Linked DNA regions of Macaca mulatta. The protein of the gene in region 1 interacts with the protein of each later gene in a pairwise test. Links are inferred from orthologs where the notes say so. Each region holds a gene or a part of one and is shown in the gene's direction. Other genes may lie near its edges.

Region 1 (3,648 bases):
CAGTTTTCAGCTTTTCGATAGCGATGATTCATACAAGCAGTATATTTGGAAAGCTTTGCTCTGCTTGGTGACAAAAAGTGCTGGTTTTGTGAGCTGCCTAATACATTGGGCGTTATAGATGGAGACTGTATGTAAAAAATATTTGCATTATGGTACAAATCTTTTATGATTGCTGAAAACTGTTTTTAGCAATTGATGGTAGGTCTCTGATGTGAAATCATGTTTAGGAAAGCATTCCTTGCAGTATTACAGTTTTCTGAAACACAGCACTATGGGCACAAATGTCATATAAAAAGCTGCAAGAAAATATTTTAAAAGTGTTTTTGAGTGTATTTCTTTACCTAAACCTAAATTTTCATACTCATGGCCATGGCTTCTTTTATTAAAATACAGTTAATAGCATCAATCACTAGATTGCTTAAAAATGCTTTTCTTACTGTGTATTAACTTATTTCTACCCTTTGGATGGTTTTACTATATGATACTTTTTTGTGTGCTTTACATAATGAGTTGTGCAGTATTTCATGGAAACATCTCCTTTGAATTGTAGGACATTTTGTAAATGTAGAAATTAAAGTCTGTGCTTATAACCCTTTCTGCACATTTAAAAAATAGAAACTTTTAATTATTTGCTTTTTTTCATCATCCGTCAATTAAGTGATTTTCAGTTATACAAATTGGAATTGAAATACGAATATTAATACCTGAAATGTTTTACAGAAAATAAGTGAGTAAATCTTGCTTTTTGAAATGATTTTTGAATTTTATATTTTAAATATCCTTCTTGTATTGCTGAACCATAATGTCCCATATTGATGTCAGTATATGCAAATAAACTACTTTTCAACATTAACTTTTAATCCATTTTCATTTACTAACTGACATTAAAGAGGATCTTACTGCAAAAAGAAAAAGGATGAAAATGGATAAAGCTTGCAGCAAAACAAAGAACAAAAGTAAAAATGCTTTGAGAAAAAAACAACTTAAAAGGTATGACTGTTGGCTTTCTCGCGTAATGATATTTATATCATTTCTTTGTATTCGTTGGTGCAAATAATTTCAAAAACTACCCTGTACATATTGGCGTCTCTAGTGAACAACATATTTTACTTGATTGTTCTCTAAGCAGGTAAGTTTCTTTAGTTTTATAACCTCAGTTTAACAGAATCAAGAGATATTACCTAGAAGTCAATGAAGATGACCTCTTTTTGCCTTCCAGATAAAAATAGTCTTCCTGTAAAATTAATGTTTATCCATTTCTAGAAATATGGTAGCTGCATATAAGATAAATGTTCTCAATGTTTAGTCTGTAGATCCTTAACAATACTGAATTATGTAGAAAGGGATAACCTTATGTTGTAAATAAGTTATCTATTTTAGTTAAATTGTTTTCACTATTTCTTTTACAAAACCATTGGTGTGCCAAAGTGGAGAAATAGTTAAGTGAAGCATTTCTTCTGGGAAATCTTACGGGATGAATGGCTATGATATTCTTGAACCTACTTATGAGAACCCATATGTTATTCAGTAAAAGGAAATGAAAAGTAAACTGCTCTTAGAGAAAATGAATGTTTCTGGGAAACTTATAGTGCAGTAAACCCTCCTTTGTCTTCAGCAGGTAAAGAATATAAGATAGCTGCTCTAGTAGTCAGGAAGGAAGGAATCCTTTCAGAATGAGAGCAACTCATTTCACCTTTTTCCAAAAAGAAGATTTCAGCTACTATTACTCCCTTGCTACTTTATAGGATAAATTATGTCAAGTCAGTTTAGGTTTGAATAGGATTAATTTTTCATCTCTCTATGAAGTTTGACCGTGTTACTTATTATGTGTTACAGGCAGAAACGTGATTATATACATTCTCTGAAGTTGCTGAATGTCCTTGAAGAATACATCACAGATGAGCAGAAAGAAGAAGAAGAAGAAGAGGGAGAAGAAGAAGAACTAATTGTTGGTATCAGGCTTAGCTTTATGTTTAACGTGTTGTATCAATGTCTCAGGGAGTAATTGTTCATGCAGAAATTCAGCAAAGAAGGAAGAGTGCATGAGCCCAGAGAGGGGGCCCGTTAGTGGACTCATATACCAGGGGAATATAATTGCCATGCAGCATTAGGGGTCCAACTGAAGTCAGCATCGTAACGATGAAGAAATTGAAGTGAGCCCAGTTGGAGTATTTGTGTAAGAGCAGCTGTAGGGTTGGAATTTCCTGGGTTGGGGTCTAGCCGAGCAGATTGACAGAGGGAGAGTTGGGCAGGGAATAGATGCAGGGATGAGGATAGATGACTGGCTGTGGAATTTCAGCTGGGACTGAGTTACCCGAGCACATGGGGTGGGCAATGGGCAGTAAACAGTGCTCCATTCAGTGGGTGTCAGGTCTCGACAGACTCCTGAGCTATAGTACTGAAGTGAGTGACCTACAATGGCAGGGAGGTAGTGGCTGTATGTTGGGAAGATGGAGAAACAGCTGACTACAGTGGTTCAAGGGCTGGGACTATGCAGCCACACTGCTTGGGATCCAACTCCAGCTTGACCGTTGCTAGCTCAGAAACCACGGAAAAATTATTTATCTCTGTGCTAGCTCGGAAACCGTGGAAAAATTATTTATCTCAGCTTGACCATTGCTAGCTCAGAAACCACGGGCAAATTATCTACGAAAGGAGACATGGTAAGAGTACCTACATCAGAGTTGTTGGAGGATCAAAAGGTTTCTATGTAACGGGTTTATTTAAGTTTTTCAGGATGTGATCTGACCCATGGTTGCTCCTTATCATTGCTATTATTAATATTACATAGGTGTTGCAGTCATTGGGAATGACAAAATCTAGGGGATGACTGTGCGAGTGAGTGCCACGTAGAGGAGAGGAGAACACTGTTGTTGGAGATTAAGTCAAGGTGCAGAAAGGCCATCATTATTGGGTGGTTCATCTATGTGCCTATTGAAATGACCAAGATTTAATACATGCTTAAAATCCTAGAAAGAATGTGTCTTAGTTAATTTCTGTATAGATCTTACCTATCTGTGGTCAACAAATTGTAGGAAGGTTCATCAAATATTCTTCATTGGAAATCAAGAAATTAGGACATACGTGTTGAATATGTGAAAGTAAGAAAATTATTTACTTAATGACTGATGAAAAAGGTTAATACATCATTTTTAGCATGTGATTGGCGAACACGATTGTTTAAAATTGGTCCTAAATGTTGTCTAAAAGAAAGTGTTCAGAAGTATTGATTTAAAGAGTATTCCTTTAAAGCTAATGGAGAATTGTGTTTTGTAAGTATTAAAATTTACCCAATTTTTATCACTATTTTGTTGTGGGATTCTAGAAAATATTTCAAGAACAACAGAAGAGGTGGCAGCAATATAGAAGTGTTAGGAGAGAGAGGCTGAAAGAGATGAAGCTGCTACGTGACCAATTCTTAAAGGTCTGTTCTATTTGGTAACATAATACATTATAAAATACACCACGTGCATAATGGAAGAAAGTCTGCTTGTTTCTGAATGTATGGAAAGACATTTTGGTTATACATTTTAAATTACTTACCATTTTCACTTTGAATGTATTGTTCCAGATATAATAGTATTGGTAAATGTATTTTTAGGATTCATGAATAGTTTGTAGGAGTTATTTAGAACAGGAAAAGGTAAA
Region 2 (3,748 bases), about 70 Mb from region 1:
ACAGTGCATTACATATACTTCTTTTACAAGGAATCATATTCTTTATCTTGGTCTTAAAAACATTTCCCCAGGCCGGGCGCGGTGGCTCAAGCCTGTAATCCCAGCACTTTGGAAGGCCGAGATGGGTGGATCACGAGGTCAGGAGATCGAGACCATCCTGGCTAACACGGTGAAACCCCGTCTCTACTAAAAAATACAAAAAAACTAGCCGGGCGAGGTGGTGGGCGCCTATAGTCCCAGCTACTCGGGAGGCTGAGGCAGGAGAATGGCGTAAACCCGGGAGGCGGAGCTTGCAGTGAGCCGAGATCCGGCCACTGCACTCCAGCCTGGGCAACAAAGCGAGACTCCTCTCAAAAAAAAAAAAAAAAAAAAAACATTTCCCCTATCTGTTCAAAACCGTTATTTTGAATGTTGTATAATATATTTTTGTGTGGCTAAAACATTATTTAAGCAGTACCCGACTGAGGAGCACTTAAGACTGCTTCCAATGTTTCTCCATGACTGAGCTCTGCAAGAGGCAAAAGGGTAACAGGCTTTTTAAAAAACTACCTTTTGAACCCAATTAGCTACAACTGCAGAATAAAATTAACAAACGAAAAACTGCCAGGGCGGACAACCCTATGTGTAGGAGGAGACAGCAGAAGTTAGCCGCCACCACTGTTCCTCCTGCTTCCCTTCGTCTGGCGGCCCCGCGGGATTGGCCAGAGCTGGCGCCGAGGGACTGCAGAGGCCCCCGCGGCTCCTACTGCGCAAGCGTGAAAAAAGCTTGGAGGTTTCGGGGGTAGAGCGTGGGGAGTGGGGGATCTGGTGCAAATTACGGTGCGTGAAAGAAGTCACAAAAAGCGCAGAGGCGGGGCTTCCCGCCCTAATCCGGCCTTTGTCTCCGCCCCTCCGCCTTTGTTTCGGCCCGAAGCGTCTTATTGGTCAGACATCTTCAGCCCCATTGGTCCAAGAGCCAAAGGACAGGGTCTGCCCCGAGCTGTGCCTGCTTCCGGAGCCTCAATAAGAACGGTCAATTGAGATGCGGCTTTCAGGCATTTGTTTAGGACATGCCCATGGCGGTGTAAGGGGGCTTGAACGGCAACTGGAGTAGTTCAGAGTTCAACAACAAGCTTCCAAGATGCCGCCCAAAGGAAAAAGTGGTTCTGGAAAAGCGGGGAAAGGTAGAGCGGCCAGAGCGATCCAGGAGAATGGGGGCGGGTGAGGAGCGAAGGGAGGGAACAGACAGTCCATCTCCGGAGTCCGGGACGAATGCAGCAGGTAGCCAGTGGCCCCACAGTGGCCCCATCGATTCCATCTGTAGGAATACATTGGGCTACGGTTCAGGGAGCGCCCTGATGGGTAATGGAATCTGGTGGGGATAGTTCCTCGGAGGCGATGACTTTAGGGCTGCTATTTTGAGGGGTTATTAGAGCTCTAAAATTGGGTCTTATCAAAAGCCAGTAATAAGAAGTACACATTGATTATGGTCCTTAAAGTTCACTTTAGTGCTTACAGAATGACATGCCCTCCATCGGGGAAGGAATCATTCATCCATTGAACAGAAATGTGCCAGGCACAGTGCTAAGCGCTGAGGATATAAAAATAAGACAGAGGGCTGGGTGCGGTGGCTCACGCCTATAATCCCAGCACTTTGGGAGGCCGAGGGAGAGTGGATCACGAGGTCAGAAGTTCGAGACCAACCTGGCCAACATGGCGAAACCCCGTCTCTACTAAAAATACAAAAATTCGCCAGGCATGGTGGTGCACGCCTGTAATCCCAGCTACTCGGGAGGCTGAGGCAGGAGAATCGCTTAAACCCAGGAGGCAGAGGTTGCAATTGAACCGAGATCGTGCCACTGCACTCCAGCCTGGGCGACAGTGCGAGCCTCTGTCTCAAAAAAAAAAAAAAAAAAAAAAGATTTTGGCCTTAAGGAGCTCCCGAAGATAAAGGCTTAGTGATCATAAAGCACTGTACTAAATGTAGTGTTGAGGGATGTGTATGGGATATAATAGAAATTGAGAGAAGTGCTTCATTTAGCTGGGGAACAGGGCTTCCTGGAGACGAATTAGGCAGAGGTCAAGATGAGCATTGAGGGTAGGTTAAAGCATTCCTAACTTGGGGTCCAGCAGCAAAAGCACTGAGGTGGGAAACAGCATGATGTGAGCAGTGTAGTGTTGCTGGAGCAAAAACTCAAGGCAGAATGGCAAGTGGTGAGAATGAAAACAGAAACAGAGACCAGATCATGGAGAGTGCTATATGTGGTGCTAAAAAGGACTGTTAAGGATCAGAAAGACCTGTAAGGAGATTGTTGTGGTAGTCTTGGTGAGAGATGATGGTGGACTGACCTAAGGCAGTGGCTGTGGGAACTGAGAAAAGAGAAAAGATTCTGTAAACATTAGGATGTGAAATAGTCAAGACTTAGTGATTTATTGGGTTGGGGAGGGGTGGTGAGGGAGGATCAACGATCATTCTGTTTTCTGGATTGGATTTCTAACCTGTTGCAGGTCCTGCAGGCTAACATCAAGGATACATGAGGAGCAGGGATGAGACTGATGAATTCACTTTCAGATAGATTGGCTTTGAGGTGTCTGTGGGACATCTCAGTGGAGATGTAGTCAGGAAGTGGTTGAATATTTGAGTCTGAAGTTTGAGGGAGAGGTCTAGACTGTACATGTAAGTTTTAGGAGTCATTAACTTATAGATGGTAGTTGCGCCCATTAGAGTGTATGCAGTTATCCATGGTGAGTTTATAGAATTAAAAGAGCAGAGAGCAGAGGATGTGATCTAGGACAGGCAGAGAAAGGCAGACAGATAGAGGGAGTGCAGAATGGTGGCCAGAGGCAGGAGAGACCAGAATGTTTTAAAGAGAGAGGGTATAGTCTATCAAGCACGGCAGATTTGGAAATTAGAGGTGGCCTTGGGTAAAAGTGATTTCAGTGAAACAAAAGCCAGATTGCAGTGACTATAGAACTGACTGGGAAGTGGTAATTTGGACTTCTTGAAAAGTTTTAATTGAAAAGCATGGAAATGGGATGGTAGATAGAGGAGGACAGAGGATTAAGAGAAAGTTTTATTTTCTTTGCTTCTTTGGAATGGGGAAAACTTGGGAGTGAAGCTGAAGGATCCAGTAAAGTAAAAGAGGTAAAGGTACAGAGGAGTGAGATTTAGGAGAAAATGGAATCCAGGACCTAAGGGGAGCAGGGACACCTTATGCTTGAGGTCATAGGAAAGGAGATGGAGGGGCAGGGAGTCAGTAGGCATCTTGAGGAGAGTGATAAAGGTCTGGAATATTGTAATGGGAGATGGAATGAAACAAAAGTAAAAGAAGTGCCCTCAGGGCTAGGAGCCTGACTGAGATCAAAGGCCATGAATTTGTAGACTACATAATATTCACAGTCTGATTTACGTGGTACCATGCAACTGGCACAATATAGGATTGAAAAGAGCTAGGTGCAGCCTTAAGCCGTGGTTGAGGTTTTGTTAGGCAGTTATGATAGGACGATAGCAACACAAGGGAATTACAAGGGCCAGTGGGAATGCAGTTCAGATGAACGAGCATGGGGTCCAGAGTGGGAAGGTGAAAAGAGGTCTGGTGGTCTAGGTGAATGTAGCAGGACAAAGGGACTGGGGTCGAGGGGGAGGTTCTGTGAAGTCAGAGAGCCAGTACTGTGGGAATGAGACATGAGAAAGCTGGAAGGACAGGAGGTTATAGCCAGAGACTGAACTAGTTCTGAGTGGCACAGTTGCATTGTGTGCCCCCGGGGC
Region 3 (3,748 bases), on another chromosome or scaffold:
AAGTGGCTCCGAACCCTACCTTTCCTCCAGATGTCCAGTTCAGAATTTGATTTTCCTTTCTTTTTTCTTTTTTTCTTTTTAGAGATGGAGTCTCCCTCTGTCACCCAGGCTAGAGTGCAATAGCACAATCTCGGCTCACTGTAACCTCCGCCTCCCGGGTTCAAGCGATTCTCCTGCTTCAGCCTCCCGAGTAGCTGGGATTACAGGCGTCCACCACCACGCCCTGCTAATTTTTGTATTTTTAGTAGAGATAGGGTTTCACCATGTTGGCCAGGCTGGTCTCAAACTCCCGACCTCAAGTGATGCACTTGCCTTGGCCTCCCAAAATGCTAGGATTACAGGCATGAGCCACTGTGTCCAGCCCAGAATTTAATTTTCACAGCAGGATGGAGTGGTCAGACCATCAGATCTCAAAAGCTGGTTGCTGTCGCACTGCAGAGGGAAACGGAAATGTGCAGTCCCCAGAAAGCAGAATGTCCCTGAGGGCTTAGTGACCTTGAAGCCGTAGGGAAAGTCTGGGGCCTCCACCCTCACTTCCTTTAAAAACCGAGGTTGGGGTTTAGCTAGAGGCAAGGGAACTTTTCACTTTGCACCTTGTCCACTTTCTTTTAGTTGACTACTTCGCAGCTGGCATTGTACCTTGATAATGATCATTTCAACTGAAACTATTCCTCTAAAAAGAATGGAGTCCAAGGCCTGGGAGTTGGATTCAGGCTCTGGGACTCAGGAGTTGATCTCCTTGACGTTCACCTGGAGCAAATTTAGCCTCAGCTGATACTTAGGAGGCAAAGGCACAGACTTGGGGATGCGGGGAGCTCAAGGGCTGTCACCCTGTAGAAACCCTGCTGACGCCCAGTTCAGGCCTGGCCTCGGGGCTGGCCGGCTCCTCCTTGCTCCCTCGTTTCCAGCGAGAGTCTGGGATGGCACCCACAAAGCTGGTGGCGTCAGCCCTCCTGCCCCCAACTCCCAACAGTACTGGAGCCAGGTGGTTAGCAGGTCCGGGAGGGAGCAAGAACGAGGGACGCCACCTGGGCTGGAGTTCTTGGTTTCCTGTCCTGGCTCGAATGGGGAAGAGCCTTAAGAGAGCCTCGCGCCAGGCCCCCGGAGGGAGCCGCGCCCCTGGCCCTGGGGGCCCCTGTGGGGGTTCGCGGCCGGAGCGCAGGCTGGGCCGGGGTGTCTCCCGGAAGCCGGGCTGGCCCAGGCTGCCCCATATGGAGTTGGGAAAGTCTCAGGCTTTCGGTTTGAACCTAGGAGGCCGAGCAGCCGGGCAGAGGTTCCCGACGGCCATTGGCTGCGGCGGCGCCGTGACATCAGCGCGGAGGGGTGCTCGGGGAGGGCGCGGGCGGAGCCTGGAAGGGGAGTGTCCTGGCGGCTCCCAGCCCTGAAAGCCCGAGAGCCAGAGGGAAACAAACGCCGGCGCTGACAGGGGCCGCTACCCCCGCCGCCGCGCGGAGCCCACAGAGGAGACAGCGCAGCTGGGTCGGCGCTCGGGTCCCCGGGGACCGAGGTAGGCGACGGGTACCCGCCTCTGGCTGTGGTAGCCGCCTTCGCGCTGGGTGCTCAGGGTGGGCTTGGGGGGGCTCGAGCCCCCCTGTGGGGCAGAGAGGATCCAAGCTAGGGATGCGAGGCCGCGGCGCGGGGAGAGGGGCGCGGAGTCCCCACTTCTCGGCGCTCGCGCTTCTCTCCGCACCCGCCGCGGTGACTGGGACCCGGAGACGCGCACCCAGTGTCCTGGCAGAGCGGGATGTGCGGAGGAGGGGGTGGCAGGGAGCCGGGCGCAGCGTCGCCGGGACTCGATTTCCTTTCTACGCTGGAACTCTTGGGCTTGGCCGAGGGCGCCGCTGGGCGGGTTGGGGGCTGGTTTTAAAGGGCCTCCCCCTTCCCAGGAATGGGGTGTGTGTCGGTGTGGGCAGGAGGGCAGCAATCGGCGGCGCGCGGCCCGCGATCTCCGCGAGGGGGGCGTGTGTGCGCCCGGAGTTCTCCATGAATAAGAACCGAATTCTCCGCCTGAGCAGAGGCGTGTACACATCTCGCTCTCGTACACACACTGCAGCACACGCCACCCAATGTCACGCGGCCGGGGAGCCAGCGGGAAGGAGCTGTCTGGAAGGGAATGGCCAAAGGAACAAATGCTTCCCCGTTCCCCCACTCCCGCCCCGCGAACCCTTCCCTTCCCCGCCAGGATCCCGCCCCGCCCGCTCCCTCGGAAGCCCGGGAGGTCGAGGCGCCTCCCGGCGGGGTGCAGGGGGAGAGCAGTCGAGCCGCCTGTCCCTTTGGAGCCCGAGAGGCTGCTGCGCACGGGGCCGGTGCACCCAGAGCTCAGCGCGCTCCGCGGGGTCGCTGGCGGGAGCGGTTGGTTAATGATTTAATCGCCCGCTTGGGGCGGGTGCGCGCGGAACGGCCGTCCCTGGCCCCGCCCCCTCCCCGGAGCGCCCCCAGCCGGGGTTACAAAACTGCCCCCTCCCTCCGGCACGTCCCCTAGGAGCCGTCCTGCCCGCGGGGATCCGGTCAGTCGGTGAGTGCCCAGGCCAGGAGGGCTGGAGAGCTGGGCGGGAGCCGGGGCTGAGGCTGAGCCGGCTTCCTGGGAGAGGACTGAAGTGCGTGTGTGTGTGTGTGTGTGTGAGAGCAAGAGAGCGAGCGAGCGAGCGAGAGGGACTGGGGGAGGGGTGCTCTCTGCTAACTCAAACCAGGTTGCCTGTGTTTTCCCAGTGACTGCGGCCTGGGCTTTGGAAGTTTTCTTTTTCTCCCTGGGAGAATGGAGGGGAAATACAATGCCTTTTCTTTTCTTGCTGCCTCTGGAACTTCTCTCTCTCCACGACTCCCACCCCTTGCAATCTGACCAGCTCCCACATCTCTTACTGGGTGCCCGGTGCCCACTGTTTGCCCAGATAGCTGAGCAGCTGGATCCGGGTGGAGTCCTCGGGAGCCCCTTCGCTGCGAAGCCCCCTGCTCTCCCCGGAGGGGCCCGTGTGCTGGAGGGAAAATCTCTCGTCCGAAACCAGCAGCCATCTGGACCAGAGAAAGGTCCCATCCAGCGAGTGTAAACAATGAGGGGCCGGTGACAGGGGCCTCCTGCAAGGCAACTTCTTTGGCAGTCTGGGTTTCCAATAACTCCCGCAGCCCCCGCCCCCTTCTGAGGCTAGGGTGGAGGAGGGACCACCAGCAGGATGGACTGAATTTTAAGAGAACAAAGAACAGGCCACAAAGGAAGGGATTGCTGAGCTGCGGATTTCTCCCAGAAATCGGGAGTTGGCTGGGACTGAGCCAGGCCCTGAGAGAACCCCTGGCAGCCCCAGGGGCTCCTGGAGCAATAATGGGGCATCCACCAGGATCTCCTGAGGCTCTATCTCTGCTGGGAAGCCAGAGCCTGCTGAATGCGGGGGTGCCCTGCCGGTTCCTGCTCTCACCAACTACCCTGTGTGAGCTGCCCGTGTGACTGACTGATTAGTGGGGTGGTTTATCTCCTCTGAACTTGGACTTTGCCTCTCCACTCCTTGAAGACAGCTGCTCCTTCCCACAAGGGGGGGAGTTCAGTGAATTTGGGGAGATCCCAAGTAGATTCCCAGGCATCCTGGTAGACCCCTGCAGGGACTAGGAGGGGGCCACTGTGATCCTATGGGTGGTGGTTCTGGGGTGAGTCTCAGCGCCTCCCCTCTGAAATCTCCCTGAAGTCCTAGGGTCCCTGCCACTGAGGGCAGTTTGCTCCTGCTCTGCGGTACAGCCTAGGCCTGTACTATGAACGATTCTT

The links.
Region 2: the proteins of FAM9B (region 1) and PIN4 interact in binary tests that used the Homo sapiens proteins (3 or more experiments, as listed by UniProt). The two-hybrid records come from large-scale screens. The link is inferred for Macaca mulatta from reciprocal best matches to the Homo sapiens genes FAM9B and PIN4.
Region 3: the proteins of FAM9B (region 1) and CDC42EP4 interact in binary tests that used the Homo sapiens proteins (3 or more experiments, as listed by UniProt). The two-hybrid records come from large-scale screens. The link is inferred for Macaca mulatta from reciprocal best matches to the Homo sapiens genes FAM9B and CDC42EP4.

The regions. Positions count from the first base shown.
Region 1 is NC_133426.1:8,565,065-8,568,712, reverse strand, and holds part of FAM9B (protein FAM9B), read left to right. Parts: intron 1-890; coding exon 891-990; intron 991-1,836; coding exon 1,837-1,948; intron 1,949-3,325; coding exon 3,326-3,424; intron 3,425-3,648. UniProt on the Homo sapiens protein: May play a role in meiosis.
Region 2 is NC_133426.1:78,727,788-78,731,535, forward strand, and holds the start of PIN4 (peptidyl-prolyl cis-trans isomerase NIMA-interacting 4), read left to right. Parts: upstream 1-1,091; 5' UTR 1,092-1,120; coding exon 1,121-1,163; intron 1,164-3,748.
Region 3 is NC_133421.1:82,962,462-82,966,209, reverse strand, and holds the start of CDC42EP4 (cdc42 effector protein 4), read left to right. Parts: upstream 1-1,404; 5' UTR 1,405-1,507; intron 1,508-1,890; exon of another isoform or gene 1,891-2,515; intron 2,516-3,748. UniProt on the Homo sapiens protein: Probably involved in the organization of the actin cytoskeleton. May act downstream of CDC42 to induce actin filament assembly leading to cell shape changes. Induces pseudopodia formation, when overexpressed in fibroblasts.